2 linked regions of the Elephas maximus indicus genome follow. The protein of the gene in region 2 purifies or fractionates together with the protein of the main gene of each other region. This does not show direct contact. Links are inferred from orthologs where the notes say so. Each region holds a gene or a part of one and is shown on either strand. Other genes may lie near its edges.

Region 1 (8,060 bases), on a different chromosome or scaffold from region 2:
TCCTGTCATTCCCACCTTATTGCAAAGTGTTGCTGTTAGTGTTGGGTGCTGCCGAGTCGATTCTGACTCACGGTAACCCCATGTGACAGAGTAGAACTGCCCCATAGGGTTTTCTAGGCTGTAAAGGAGCCCTGGTAGTGCTGTGGTTAAGTGTTAGGCTACTGCCCCAAAGGTCGGCTGTTTTCACCCAATTAATTTGTACCATTCAAGGTCTTTTAGTAAATTCAGAGTGATGCAACCATCATGTAGTCAATTTTAGAACATCTTCATCACCCCACAAATTCTGTACCCCTTAACTGTCACTCCCCAATAAATAAATCTATTCCCCCCATGCACTTAAGAAGCCCATGCACTTGGCAACCATTAATTGACCTTCTTTCTCTATAGACCAGTTTTGTTTTTTGAAGCGCATAAAACTGAAAACCACATGTCTATAGAAATAAAATGAAAAATTAACTAGTAGCATTTTCTTCAAAGGAGTTTTATACCACAATTACATGACATGGTGGACTATCACATTAAAATACGTATGTTGACAGGAGAAGCCAGGCACAAAATAATATATACTACATATCGAACCCTCGGAAACCCTGGTGGCATAATGGTTAAGTGCTACGGCTGCTAACCAAGAGGTCGGCAGTTCAAATCTGCCAGGCACTCCTTGGAAACTCTACGGGGCAGTTCTACTCTGTCCTATAGGGTCACTATGAGTCAGAATTGACTGGACAGCAGAGGGTTTTTACATATCGAACCCAGTAACTGCTCCTCAGGAGAAAGATGTAGCAGTTGGCTTCTGTAAACTTTACAGTCTTAGAAACCTTAGGGGGCAGTTCTCTGTCCTAAGGGTCGCTACAAGCCAGAATTGACAGCACACAACAACTTTTACAGGAGATTGCCACTTCTTTCTCCCTTGAAGCTACTGGGCAGGTTCAAACTGCCAACCTTTGGGGTAGCAGCCGAGCACTTTAACTGTTGTGCCACCAGGGCTCCTCTACTGCAAAGTAGGAGGCAATACATCTACAAGACACTGTAACAGAATGACGCTGGCTTTAAAATGAACTGCCCCAGACTCATCACTTAGGGGACGCTAAGCTTCTGCTGAAAGTGTTCGAAAAATTTGGGAACGGATAATGGTGATGGTTAAACAACATGACGAATGTAATTAACGTCACTGAATTGTACCTAAAAAAATGTTGAAATGACAAATGTTTTCTTACATACATATTTTCCATAATTAAAAAAATACATACAGGACAAAAAAAGCCCAACTGCCCTCAGACTCCTCACTGACAGAAACATCTACTTCTAACAGAAGCTCAGCCAACGTGTCTTCAGGGAGAAAAGGGTGCCTGTGTGGACACTCTTCTGGTGTGTCAAGGCTCTGTTAAATGCGGACATCTCAGACAGCTGGGAGAACCTAGTGAGGTATATCCATCATCCACATAGTGCTGGCCATCTACTCCCCAGGCACTGTCATTATCCCCATTTAATAGGTGTGGAAACTGAGGCTCACAGGGTTCACTTTCCACGTCCACACAGCTAGGCCCAGGACCTCAACTCTGCACCTTTAAGTCCTCACCTTTAAGTCCTCACCTGTAAATCCCAGCTAAAAAAGCAGAGGCCAAGTTAATGGTGGCAACTGCTTTCCCTGCAACACACCCTTTCTTTTGCCCTTCAATGTGCTGGGCTCTGCTCCAGGGCCAGGGTGAGTCAGAGGCTGAGCAGGAACTGGGACACTGGGGCAGAGGAGAGTTACAGTGAGTGGCCAAGAAATAAGTTGAGGGTTTGGGGTTCCAGGGTACAGGCCCCATCCCTAACATGGGAGGGGTCCCTCCACTTAGCCCCAGGGGAGAACTGGTGGAAAACCTGGGGATCAGAGGACCTGGACATCATGTGGGGGCAGCCATCACTGGAGTAACACTTCCAAGGGACCTGAGCTGCCCTGGTAAACTGGCCTGAGGAAGACAGTCCCTGTGGCAGGACTACGGGCCCTGAGGACCAAACCTGAGCATACTTCTGCATTGAGAAGGACTCGGGAAAGCTGGCAGTTATGGAGTCACAGGTCTACATCTTCGGCCTGAGAAGGCAAACACCACCATCTGAAGAGGGGCCTGGGGTTATCTGGGCTGCTGGTATCCAGGGAGGGAAGAGGGCAGGACCCCACTGTTCTCCATGACTCCCAGAGCTCAGGCCCCAAATGAAGGGGCACTGGGGCCCACAGACTTGGCTCCAGGATCGACTCTGCCACTTAATTCTCTGGGGACTAAGTAAAATGGAGACCACAGCCCCTGACTTTGCCCCAGGGGCCAGTGGCACAGAGCAGTCTTGATACATACACCTCAGTCTCTCTTTCCCCCACCTTCAATTTCAGCTCCAAAACTCCTAGGGTAGAACACAAAGAGAGCTCTCCAAAACTAAACCAAGCTGGGGCACAGAGCCCAGGCTGGGGAGACAAAAGAGCCCCCTCCCCAGCACCCTTCTCAGACGGAGGGAGGGGGCTTAGAGGGCTTGAAGTGCTGTGCTTCCCCGAATGTTGGGGGAAAAGGCCCAAGGGGGAAGTCTGAACCAAAACTGAGGCTTGAACGACAAGTGTCTTTCAGGCTTTGGCCTCCTACTCGTCGTGAGTTGGGGAGACATTTTCCCTCCCCGGGGGGCACCTCCCTCCCCCTGTAAAGGCCCTTCCAGCTGACACCGGCCGTCCCACCCCCACACCGCAATTAGGCGGGAGACAAAATGACATCATGCAGGGCCTGGCCCGGGCCCCGGGAGACCCGCCCGCCCCGGCTCAGACACCGAGCAGGCCAGGGGAGCGGAGCGAGGGGTCCCAAGGGACCCATGGCTTTATGCGCGCGCCCCTGCCTCGGGCCGCCCAGGACACAGCATTTCCTGAGGAACCCCCCAGACGCCCCGCGCGAAGGGGCCACGGCGAGGTGGAGTGGAACGAGGTGTGGGTGGCGGTGGGGGTGGAAAGGGGGTAGGAAGGGCCCTCAGCCCACCCAGCTCCGCTCACCCGCGCGTCCGCCGAGACATCCCCCCAAGTCGCGCTGCGCCCGCCGGCTCGCCAGCTGAGCCCGGAGCCGGAGCCGCAGCCGGGCCGAGGCCGGGGCCAGGACACTAGCTGCTCCGGCCGCTCCGGGCCCCGGGCCGCGCTAGGTTCGGTCAGCGTGTCCTCAGGTTCCGCCGTCCGCGCGCTGGAGCTACGGCCGCGGCCGGCGCGCACAGAAGCACTTTCCTATCTCGCGCCAAGCGCGTCGGCGCCTCCCGGGCCTGGCGCGCGGGCGGGCAGACGTGCGCAGGGGCGGGGCCTGGGCGGGGCCTGTGTGGGGCCTGGGCGGGGCCAGCGGGGGCGGGGCTGGCGCTGCACAGGCCCAGAGGTTCCATGATGACAGGGGCCGCGGTGGCGACTTAGGAGATGGGACTTGTGAGCACCATATGACTGAGCGGGTTCAAGTCAAGTATTGGTCTGGGACGGCCCACACAGCAAGGACTGTCAAAAAGGAGTGAGGGGCAAGGATGGAAAAGTCAGGCTGGGAAAACCACCTGTGCAAAAACCCCAGGGCTAGTCGAAGCCTCGCTTCTCCGGGTCGCTACAGCCCCGCCCTAAAATGGCCCCCTTAATCCTACCTGTACCTTCCTGCTTTCTCTGCAGCCTCGAATTGGCGGCCCGAGTGACACTTCTGAAATACAAACTTCACTTAGTCTCTCCTGAACTTAAGACCCTTTCTTCTCTCCCTCGGGATAAATTCCTTCCTACACAATCAGGCTCATAGCCTCTGCCTGAATCATCACCCACCCCACCCCACCCCCGCTGAAAGAAGTTTCCTGCCTCCTTGCCTTTGCTTGCACTATTACCCCTCCCACCTAATTCTTACTTATCCTTGAAGTCGGCTGTCCATAACCAGCTGTTGACTTGTGCATTTCCTCCTTTAAACTTTGAGCATCTTGGAGTCCAAAAGGCCTCTGAATCCACCCCAGTATCCCTAGAGCCCAGACAAGGCCTAGCATAGGAGGTCCCAGGTATGTCTGTTGAGTTGAATTCTATTTACGAAGTGCTTAAACTCCGAGAGGCTTAGCAAGGATTTTCCATTTTAAGTTGACGCTTACCAAGAACCTACTTCTTATCATGCCCACGCTGGGCTTCCTGGGAGATGTGCTGAGATGAAGGTGAAACAACTATGAGGCAGGAGCTTGGGGAGACCTGGCTGAATCCCAGCCTCAGTCCCTACTTATGCCACAGATCCCACATCCAGAAACTGCTGGCCACCTGGGGACAGTCTAGCCAACCGATGCAAACTTCATTTACCACAGCAGAAGGATGTTAAGTACTAAAACCAAAAACCAAACCCGTTCCCGGCGAGTCGATTCCGATTCATAGCGACCCTATAGAACTGAGTAGAACTGCCCCTCAGAGTTTCCAAGGAGTACCTGGTGGACTCGAACTGATGACCTTTTGGGTAGCAGCCATAGCACTTAACCACTACGCCACCAGGGTTTCCAAACATATTAAGTACTAGAAGCTTTCATAGTACTTAATTCATAAAGTAATTTATTTGGGTATCCCCTCTTCATTGCTACACCGTAACATTTATGAGTGTAAGCTCTACAGCTAGACTGCCTAAGGTTTGAATCCCAGCTCCACTGCTTCTCGTTGTTAGGTGCCATTGAGTCAGCTCCGACTCATAGCGACCCCATGTACAACAGAAGGAAACACTGCCCAGGCCTGTGCCATCCTCCCAATTGTTGTTATGCTTGAGCCCACTGTTGCAGTCACTGTGTCAATCCATCTCATTGGGAGTCTTCCTCTTTTTTTGTAGGCCCTCTACCAGTTCCTGGAGCTCTACTACTTACTAGGTGTATTTACCAAATTACTTAACTCTTCTGTGCCTCTGTTTCCTCATCTATAAAAACAGGATTTATCAAAAAATTTAGATAGTTCTATAGGATGTACCACCTAGTGTTCTGTGTGCTTTGTAAATATTAACTCATTTAATCATTACAACTCTATGAGGTAAATATTAATATCGTCACCTTTTGGAATATGGGGAAACTGAGGCACAAACTTCCTGAAGGTCACACAGCTAGCAAATGGAAGAGCAGAGATTCAAACATAGGCTATGTAGCTCTAGAGTCTATGCTCTTAATCACTACACTGGTACCTACTTTGTAGGGTTATTACAGGATTAAATAAATGAATATGCATAAATCACTGAGAACAGTCCTTGACATATAATAAGTACTGTTACTTCTGGAAACCCTGGTGGCGTAGTGGCTAAGAGCCATAGCTGCTAACCAAAAGGTCAGTAGTTTGAACCCACCAGGTACTCCTTGGAAGCTGTATGGGACAGTTCTACTCTGTCCTATAGGGTCACTATGAGTCGGAATCCACTCAAAGGCAACTGGGTTTTTTTTGTTTGTTTGTGTTACTTCTGGAGCCCTGGTGGTGCAGTGGTTAAGGGCTACAGCTACTAACCAAAAGGTCAGCAGTTCAAATCTACCAGCCGTTCCTTGGAAGCCCTATAAGGCAGTTCTACTCTGTCCTATAGGGTCACTATTGACTTGGAATCAACTGGATGGTGGCGGTTTTGGTATGTTACTTCTGTTATTATTATTAATAGGATTTTTCAGCTACCCTCACACTTGTCCTTTGAGGTCCAGGAAGCCCTTTTGCACACAGCACACATTCTCACATGGACAGGGAGGGCCAGGACCTGACAGCTCCCACAAGGTATTTGCCCAAGGCAAGAGGCAGGGAGCAGTTGCAGAGTCAACCTGGAACAAGCAATTGGGGCCACTTGACTAGTACATAGGAGCTGAAGAGCCTGCAGTCAGTGCTGGGAGTCAGGCAGCAGAGAGATCACCTGATGCCAGATGGAATCTGGTGATCTCCACAAGTCTGTCCTCTCCAGTTATCATTGTACCAACAGACACTCCCTGGAGAGAGGACTCCCAGTGTTCTGGGTGCAGCCACACCTGGGAGTGGTGGCTGGGCCAGGGACTGATAACAGACTGCAGCTTTTCCTGGACAGTCCCTTATTGGACAGGGAGCCTTCAGCCATTTGATCTTTCCCCAGTGCCCCTGGAGGCTCAATCTGCCCCACCCTGGGCTCCAGACCCAGAGCTTGCCCATGTTGGGAAGTCAAGGATTAAATGTACTTTTAAATGCTCAGGCCCAGCACCAGGCAGTACACAAAATAAACACTGATTGATAACAAGTAAATGATAAGTGGTATCACATGGCCCTTCAGCCTGGGTTCATCCCCTCTCTACTACTAAGCATTCTCATCTTTGTCCACCCATCGCACTTCCTCCGCCCATAATTTTATTGCTGTTTTGAACAGGGGCAACACGCATTCGTATTTTTAGTTTCAGATCTTTACCATAATGCTTGGCCCCTGGCAGGTACTCAAGAAAGGAGTTTTACACATTTTCAAGAAAATGAATGAATGAAATGTTATCAAGCTAACATTTGGGCTGGAGAGTTGGGAAGACACAGGCCAGAACTGAGAGGATTTAGAATGGTAGAGTTTGAACTGTATCTTGTAAGATATGGGACATCAGGAGAGATTTTGAAACAAAGGCATGATTTTCAGGATACTTCTGAACCCCCTGTCTTAGGCTGGGTTCTCTAGAGAAGCAAACTAGTGAAGTATATATGTATGTATGTATGTATATACATATATGTAGAGAGAGAGAAAGAGAGATTTATCTCAAGGAAATGGCTTATGCAGTTGTAGAGGCTGGGAAGTCCCAAGTCCGTGGGTCAGGCGTCAGATTGGAAGCTTCTACGGACTCACGTAGCTGCAGGGGCTGAGGAACCCAAGATCAGCAGATCAGGTAGCAGACTGCTGGCTCAGGGGCTGCAGAGGCTGATGAATCCTAAGGTTGGCAGGCAATACAGCAGGCCACCGGCTCAAGTCCCAAGAACCAGAGGTCAGATGATGATGTGCCAGATGCAGGACCCAAAGTGAAGCAAAAGCCGGTGACCTTCTCCAGGATGCAGGCCACACCCCCAAAGAAACTTCCCTTACAACTCACTGGCTGATCACATCAGATCACATCAGGAAGATAATTACATTATATCACAAAATGGAGGATAACTACATCATTACATAACTGCCAAACCACTGAGAATCATGGTCTAGCCAGGTTGACACACAACCTTAACCATTACACCCTCCACCTTGGGGGATCAGTATAGTGGATGGACTCACAGAAGCCAAGTGGGCACTGGCATGAGAGGCCAAGGACCAGGACAGGAAATGTGGCACTTTGTACAAAAGAGTGGATTCCAAAGGAAGGAAAGCAATTCAATTACCTGATTCAAGGAATCAGAGCTCTAGGGAGAAAATGCCCCCATTTACTTCTGAAAAGATTGAGGTTTATGTGAATAACTATTTGCAAAGCACTTACATTTGAGTTTGAGAAAAGGACCAATAAAGTATTCAGGTCATAAAATAATACCTCATTTTACTGGGGGACACTCCATGAGTCTGCCAGTCACCACACTAAGAGGTTTACATCCATTTTGCATTTAATCTTCACCACAATGTGAGGCAGGTACCATTACCCATTAACCTGTTGCCGATGAGTCGATTCCAACTCATAGCAACTCTAAGGGACAGAGAGTAGAACTGCCCCATAGGGTTCCCAAGCAGCATCTCGTGGATTCGAACTGCCAACCTTTTAGTTAGCAGCTGTAGCTTTTAACCATTAGGCAACCAGGGTTTCCAAAACACTATTTTTTCATTTTTTCCCCATTTTAAAGAAAACTGAGGCATGATGATATTAAGTTGTGAGGATCACACAGCTAGTGGGCCGGTAGCTGAACACTTAAAACACTAAGCACCCACAATTGAAATGTAAACTTGGAGAATAGTTTGTAAAAATATGCTAAAATGGTTGAGGCTGGGCTGCAGCTGGGGGCTGAGCATACTGAGAAAATCCAACCGCCCATACTTTCCAGAAGTTCACCAGCTAGTAAAGGAGACAAGGTGTAAGCAGAAAATTAGCTCAATAAAGGTGAGGATAAACTGCAGGACCTATGGGTACCCACCCAAGGG
Region 2 (8,119 bases):
AAGGCAACCTTACGGAAGAGTTATTTGAGTATTTGCACAAGGAAAGTAACTTTTTTTCCTTCTGCTTTAGTTTTCTACTTCCTTATAGGATCAATGGAAAGGAGAAATAGAAATAATAAGTTCTTTTCCAATATAAAGAAGGCAATAGAAATGCTAAATTATAATCACAATGCTTTCAATGGTGCCCAGAGGATATGGTCAAAGCTACTGGGTGAGGAAACTTGGTTCAGGCTGCACACCTGTCTGTTATAAGCATCAATACGACTGACTGCAGACCTTGCCACCAGAGAAGAAAGGCTGGGCTCCTCACCCCTTTGCCTTGCAGATCACATACCACAGCTCTCCCATCGCTGCCCCGGAAGGGCTCCAGGAGGTCTAGGAAGATTCACATCCCTAGCTGTAGGCTTTGGTCCCAGGGTTTCGGTTATCACTTCTGTCCTCTTTGAATCACAGCTGGCTTGGGTTACAGGCTGGGGTCCTGGAGGGTGAGTGGGGGCTCCCCCACAGCTGATGAGGATGAACTTGTTGGGCCCACTGCTGCCACTTTCTTTTCCTTTGGCGGTCAGTGCTGTGATGATGCTCTGGATATTGGCATTGTTGGGGATGGCCACCACTTGGGTGTTAGGCATGGTAGGGTGGTTAATAATCTTGATTCCAGCTGGAAACTTGCAAGAGCTAGACTCTGCCACCTCCTTGGAGGCCTGTGCTTGGCCAGGCTCCTGTTGGGCAGGGGACTGCTTAGGTTGCTCCTCTGATGTTTCACCTGGGGCATTTTGAACAGGAAGGGGCAGCCTCCGTCTTTTGAGAATCAGTGGCCGACGGGGGCTGGTTTTCATTATGAATCTGTGCTTTCACTCTCCATTGAGAATCACAAGCATGGACCCTGGAAAGTATAAGGAGGAGCAGGATATCAGAGATTTGTTAGGCTGAGAAGGAGCTTCTCTTAGAGAGGCATTCCTATTTTTATGGCCAGAAGTATGAGCCTAAGGGCCCAGGTAATGCTCCCTGACCTTTGTAGAGGCTTACCTCCAATACTAAGATGAAATCCACTGACTAAAGAAAGGTAAAACTGAAGCAAACAGAAGCAATTCAAAGGGGGAAAGTGGAACTGGATTGGATTTGGGTCAAGACAGCCAAAGACTTCCTGCTGGAAGCTTAAGAATGCTTGGCTACAGAAACAAGTGAGATAGCCACAAAATGTAGAAATTATAATACACATTACTTGCTATGACTGGAGGGACAGGGATGGGAGATGCTGGAATAGGAAGGCATATGGTGATATATAGTCCCAACAAAACTCTAATGCCATAATCCATTCTAGGATAGAGCCTTTATATTTTTATGTAATTCTACTCTGTAAAAAATAGGATCAGTGCCCACAGAATCAGGGGAGAGAGGCATATTGCACTATTGCCGTAGCACTGGAGAAATCATCTCCTAGTTCACAAGGGCTCAGATAAAAAGCTTGCAGGCAACCCTTGCTCTATTTAAGGGCCATGGTGAAGTTGTGCAGATTGTGCACTGCACAACTCTAGCGGGTGCCATTCATTTTACAGGCTACATTATCATTATCCTTGCATTAATAAGGGAACCCTGTGGCGTAGTGGTTAAGAGCTACAGATGCTAACCAAAAGGTCAGCAGTTTGAATTCACCAGGTGCTCCTTGGAAACTCTATGGGGCAGGGCAGTTCCACTCTGCTCTATAGGGTTGCTATGAGTTGGAAAAGACTCGATGGTAATGGGTTTGGTTTTTGGTTGCATTAATAAAAAGAGTATTTTTCTTTCAGTTTACAAAATACTTACGCAGTGACAGTATTAGTACTTGCATGTGCTTATCTTTATTTTAGATTTCTAAGCATGTTACTGTATTAATTTCTCTTCCAGAACAAAGAGGATAAACCTTATCTCCTGATTCCTAGAATGGACTATCACCAATATGCTAAGGGAGCTTTGTAATGCTGAGGAGGGTAGTTTTTCTCTTGGGGAGAAAAATTGTGCTTTGTTAATTTTTAATAGCTACATGAAATACTCTGCCAGTTTATGCAAAATTGTGTAATTCTATTTAGAGGTACTTTGAGAGACAGGGAAATTGGCTGTCTCTTTTAGGACATCTGCTATCTCCCGAAAAATGATTGACACATTTGTATGACATTTGCCATCTGCTTTTTTGGTGCCATCTGCTTAGAATTCACAGGCCTTTCCCACTTTGCCTCTTCCCCTTCCTATATATCTAGGTTTCCTTTACCTTCAAATCTCAGTTTTACTTCCACCTCATATCTCTCCTGGCCTCCTCCCCTCCTTCCTCCCATCAGCCAGTAGCTATTATCTTCCCCTTCCTCCAAAATATCTTCTTCCTGGTCTAAGTCTTAATTTTCTCTTCTACTCCCTGACAAGCCTCTTCCTAGTATTGCCAACAACACTTTCTAGCCTGACAAGCCTCTTCCTAGTATTGCCAACAACACTTTCTAGCCCGGTGACTTCCAGAGTAACCCCATCCTGACCAGGGAAACCTTGCTAGATTCTCAACAACCAGGAGAAGGGCCCTGTAAGAGTAGGGTGGAGGCAGTGTTGCCTAGTGGTGAGAGCGCCTGAGAGCAGGGGAGTGTGTGTGGGTTGATCTTTCACTTACTGGAGAATAAGCTCAGTCTTCAGTTCAGCCACGATTCACACTTGGTAGGCCACCTCAGCCCTCCTGATGCAGGGTACAGAGGTCACACTTCCAGTAAAAGCCAAGTGGTGCTTAGAGAAATAAGTGAGAAGGCCGAGACCAGAGGTTGGATGCAGAAAAAATTTGCACCCTTACTCAGACCTCCTTCCCCGTGTGGTCCCAAACCTCCACTCCTGTCCCGCACCCTATTGCTAGACTCCCTGACTTCCTCGCCCGGAGGACTTACGGAAGCGGTGCCAGAGACCTTGCTCCCTGCCTCTGCCCAGGCCCGGCCTCAGCCTCCATTCCTCTGCCCAGCTCACCTCCCGACTGCAGCCTCCGCCGCTGCTGGGGTGAGGCTCCTAGGGCGGACTCCGGGCTCCTCCAATCTGGGGGCCGAGCCAGGGTCCCGGATAGGGACTCGCGCCAGGCCGGCCAGGTCCCCGACGGTGCGGGAGGGGTGGGGAATCCCGGGGGATCCCGGGAGGGGAGGGGGTCCCGGGCCAGGGGCCGGGGGTGGGGTCCGGCACCGGAGCTTTCAGTTTGTTCCCCTGTTTGAAATTGGCGCCGGCGGAGCGTTGCGGTCACGTGACGGGGCGTCGCCAATCGGCGCCGGCCCTTGTCTCCGAGTTCCGGGCTCGAAGCCGTGGAGACCTGAGAGGAGACGCGGCCCTGACCCTGCCGGGCGGGTAAGAGAAGCCCGGGACCGGCCCGAAGGGAGAAGGCTCCTGTGGGCTCAGAGGGGGCGGTGGGAGCGGGAAGGAGCGAGAGGGGGGCCCTGCGGTTGGGGTGGGGGGAGCGGAGAGACTGTGAGGGGACGCGGGAAGATGGTGGTGACTGGGACACGGCCCCTCTCGGCCTGCTTCTGCCGCTTTCCCACCCTCCACGCTACCCCTCTCAGGATTTCCATACCCTCTTTAAAGGTCTGTTTTAACTGATATCCTAATGGGGGGAAATTGTAGTCCATTCACCTCCGATTACCGATCCTCTGGTACCCCCAACTAGACTGAGAGTTCTTCAAGGGTAGCACATAACCTTGTCCAAGTGTCTTGCATCTTAAAACACACAAATAAATTCTCCCTCAACTCTAAATCTTCAACTACTGACCTGTCTCCTGTTTGTCTCCACTGCCAGCCAAGCTTTTTGATATAATGGACTAAAGTGCTTTATTCACTTACTCAACAAATGTTTGCTGAGCACCTACTATGTGCCAGGCAGTGTGATAGGCCCTGGGAATACAATGGTAGACAGTTTTCTGTCTCATGGGCTTACCAGACTAACTGGGGAAAGGGGCTGGCATCACAAACATCATCAAATGTAGAATTATAGCTGTGAAGTGGTAGAGGTAAATGATACTTTGAGTATCTGTAATGAGGTCTTGAGTTATGTAGGTCAAGAAAGGGTTTTCTGATGAATTGAAGCTTGATGTGAGATCTGATGCCTTTGTGCAAAAAAGGGAGGGAAGCCCTCTAAGTAGAGGGAGAGAATGAAGTGTGCAAAGGCTGTGAGTGTGAAGGACACATGGTGAGTATGAAGTCGGAAAAATATCTGTAATCTAAGGAGTTCGTAGGATTGCTACGAGTTGGAATTGACTCAGTGGCAATGGGTTTGTTTGTTTGTTTAAGAAGTTCGAGCTAACAGACCTGAGTGAAGCGTGGTGTGAGATGAAGCTGGAGCAAGAGAAAGCAGAGCCTAGCCATACTGAGTTGTGTCCTTATCCAAAAACTCAAGAAAGCCAATCAAGTTTTAAGCATCAGTGAGTCATGGTCAAACTTCCATTTTTTAAATTGCACATTTTTAAGTGGATTAGGATAGACCAGTTAGGCTGTCGTGATACTCCATGGGAGAACTGGTTGGAGCTTGAAGAAGGGGGGAAGGGGTGAAGACAGGGGGAGAAAGAGACGATTATTGAAGACAAATTTAAGAGGTAAAATTGACAGGACTTGGTGCTGGGTTGGATGAAGGAGGCGGGGAGAGGGAAGTGGCAGGTTTCTGGCTGCATAACTGGATGAAGCATGTACTATTTGCTGAGACAGGGCCCTGGAGGTGGGAGGTGATGATGAGTTCAGTTTTAAACATGTTGAGTTTCAGGTACATTTGAGGCACCTAGTTGCTGTCAAGTAGACAATGGGTATATGGGTCCTGAGCTTAGAGAATTCTAAACTGAATGTGTACAGTAGGCAGAAATTAAAATATGAGCGAGTGAGATTGCACAAGAAAAGTGTATGAGTGAGAAGGGTGCCAAAGCATAGGTGGAGGGAAAGGCCTTAGACTGCAGAAGGGACTGACAGCACCTCTACAGCTGAGAGAAAGAGGATGGATGCAGCTATGCATAGGTTTGTGTGGTTGATTTCTAGAAAATGAGAGTATTTCCTTTGGTGGCTTCTGTATTCTTTGTGAAGTAGGACGTAAGGTCATCTGTTGAGAGAAGAGGAGTTCAGAAGTCTTAGCAAGTGGAAAAAACTTAAGATAATCTTTGTGGAGAGTTGATCAGGGAATCATAGTAGGATTGCTGGGCAAGGCAGTAGGCCCATTTGATGGTGAATTTCAGCAAGTCATTAATTTCAAACCTTTAACCTTGGCCATTGCTACCATTATCTCTGTCTCCATTGGACTCCTGCAGTAGCCTAACTGGACTCCCTGCTTCCTTTCTCCACCCCTCTCTTCCCAACCAGGCTTTCCTCGCAAAGTACCTGGAGTTATCTTTTGACACTCTGAATCAGCTTATGTCACTTCCTGTCCAGGGCCTTTCAGTGACTTCCTATCACACTAAGAATAAAATCTAATCCTAGCCTACAAAGCCCTGTGTCACATGAACTGGTTCCTGCCTTTCTACTACCTCATCTTTTAACTACTCTTGAGTTCAGTGACCCTGACCTTACTGTTTCTTGAACAGGTCAGAAATAGTCCCACTTCAGGGTCTTTGCATTTACTATTCTCTCAGAGTTCAGCATTCTTCATTCATATCTTTCCATTGCTTGCTTGTTCTTTTTTCATTCAGGACTTTGTTCAAATGCTACCTCTTCAGATAGGCCTTCCCTGACAACCTGATCTAAAATAGCACTCAGTCAGCTCAACCCCTTATCCTGTTTGATTTTTCTCCTACTGCTTATCACTTTCCACTGAAAAAATCAAACAGAATGAAGAGTTGAGTTAACTGATTGCTCTCAGATTTAAAGCACCATGTGGGCAGGGATTTTATACTGTTCTCTGGTATATATTTCCAGTACCTGGAACAGTGCCTGGCATATAGTAGGCATTCGTAAGTGTTTGTTGAATGAATGAATGAACAAATGGATGTGTTCATTATTTGTGCTCTCCCTGAAATGTTAGTTCCTTGAGGGTAGGTGGGGACTTTGTCCTTTTTTTCTCCTTCTTCCCCTGATTCTCTACTGCCTAGTGATATAAATCAGATCATGTTAATTTTCTGACTCATGAATGTATAGTGGAAACAATCTGCTCTGTTGTGTGACTTTTTATTACTTTCTGGTCCTGTTGGCCTTATCTGTCTCCAGCCTCCCACCTCTACTGACAGAGCTCAGGTTCATATCCTCATCACTTCTCTCCTGGATGACACAGTAACCTCCTAACTGATCCCCTTATCTCCAGAGTACTCTTCCTCTCTGTCAACTTGGTTAGGCCATGATTCCCAGTATTATGTGGTTGTCCTCCATTTTGTGATTATAATTTTATGTTGAGAGGATTAGGGTGAGATTTGTAACACCACCCTTACTCAGGTCACCTTCCTGATCCAAGGTAAAGGGAGTTTCCCTGGGGTGTGGCCTGCACCACCGTTTATCTCTCAAGAGATGAAAGGAAAGGGAAGCAAGCAGAGAGTTGGGGACCTCATACCACCAAGAAAGCAGCACCAGGAGCAGAGCACATCCATTGGATCTGGGATCCCTGCACCGGAGAAGCTCCTCGACCATGGGAAGATTGAAGACAAGGACCTTCTTCCAGAGCCCACAGAGAAAGAAAGAGAAAGCCTTTCCCTGGAGCTGATACCTTGAATTTGGACTGTTAGCCTACTATACTGTGAGGAAATAAATTTCTCTTTGTTAAAGCCATCCCCTTGTGGTATTTCTGTTATGGCAGTACTAGGTGACTAAGATACTCTCCTTTCATATTGTAGCCAGGATGATCTGTCTAAAAGACAAAAACAAACAAAAAACACAAATATGGCATTTTTAAGACAATTGAAAATTTGAAAACTGGCTATTTGATGATATTAAGGAATTTATATATATATTTTAATTACATTTATGGGAACGATAGGATGACTGGGAATATTGTATTTGCCTCAAAATAATGAAGGGGTGGAGAAAATGGATAGGAGTGTGGATGGGTCAGGACTGGTCATGCGTTGATGGATTTTGGAGCTGGCTGATGGTACGTGGGGGCTCATTATATTATTCAGTTTACTTTTGTGTATGTTTAAAACTATTTGGGGTAAAAAGTTAAATTAGAAAAAAAAAAGCCACATGTAATCATACCGTTCTGCTTGAAAATTTTCAATGACTTCTCAGGCTAAAGTCCAAGCTCATATAGCACAATTTATTTTTCTGATCTCTGACTCCATGTCTAGCTTCAATTCTTGCCATTCATCTCCTTATACCCTGTGTCCACCTATATTGATTTTGTGATTCCCTTAATTCACAATACCTCCTGTCCGTGTGCCCTTGTATACGCTGTTCCTCAGCAGGAGTGCCCTTCTTTGCTTCTTCTTTCCATGCCTAGGCCAGGTATCTCCCTCTCCTGGAGGCCTCCCCTGAAGAGAGTGGAAACATTCTTCTCATTTTGTACTGTAATTTTTGGTCTCCCCCACTAGACTCAGCTTCTTGAAGATAGCAACGATCAGACCCTTGTATCCTTATGAGTGGTCCGCACTGTCAAACCAATGGTTATTCATCTTTTAATTCTCACTACCCAGCATGGTGTTTAACACATGCTTAGTAAATGTTCACGGGATGAATGTTGTTGAATAGGAACTACTGTGTTTTTGCTTGGTGGGGTAGGTGTAGGAAGCTATGCTCCCCACAATCTTCAGGTGCGGGTAGTAGTTTATAGTAAAATTAGCTGGCAGAGCTGGGGCATCATCTGAGTTATTTTCCTCCCGGCTTTTGTTTCTTCTCTGCAGGCATTGGCTGGAATTGGAGTGTGTCCCAGTACCTGATTGCAGCCAGCATCATGTGGTTACTTACTGCTCTTCATTCACCTATTGATGCCGCCCAGAAAAAAACGCAGCCAGCATTCTCGGAAAGCCCCACTGCTATTCCACCAACAACCACTGGAGGGCCCCAAACACCACTGTGGATCTCCACAGCTTCCCATCAGTCACACTAGACAGGTGCCCAGCAAGCCCATTGACCACAACACCATCACATCCTGGGTAGGCCCCTGGTATCCTTACTTTGACTTTTACTCTCTTAGGCTTCTCACAATGCCGCCTCTTCTGGTCTTGAACAAGGGCTT

What was found.
Region 1: the proteins of FOXM1 (region 2) and MYBL2 purify together in Homo sapiens (affinity purification with western blotting; 3 studies listed by BioGRID and IntAct, with this or other methods). This does not show direct contact. The link is inferred for Elephas maximus indicus from reciprocal best matches to the Homo sapiens genes FOXM1 and MYBL2.

What each region holds. Positions count from the first base shown.
Region 1 is NC_064843.1:25,661,209-25,669,268, forward strand, and holds the start of MYBL2 (myb-related protein B), read right to left. Parts: upstream 3,236-8,060; 5' UTR 3,031-3,235; coding exon 3,011-3,030; intron 1-3,010. UniProt on the Homo sapiens protein: Transcription factor involved in the regulation of cell survival, proliferation, and differentiation. Transactivates the expression of the CLU gene.
Region 2 is NC_064822.1:59,069,871-59,077,989, forward strand, and holds the start of FOXM1 (forkhead box protein M1), read right to left. Parts: upstream 3,204-8,119; 5' UTR 2,971-3,203; intron 2,769-2,970; exon of another isoform or gene 2,630-2,768; intron 884-2,629; 5' UTR 837-883; coding exon 335-836; intron 1-334. Other genes in the region: RHNO1 (RAD9, HUS1, RAD1-interacting nuclear orphan protein 1), read left to right, coding at 7,869-8,036. UniProt on the Homo sapiens protein: Transcription factor regulating the expression of cell cycle genes essential for DNA replication and mitosis. Plays a role in the control of cell proliferation. Also plays a role in DNA break repair, participating in the DNA damage checkpoint response.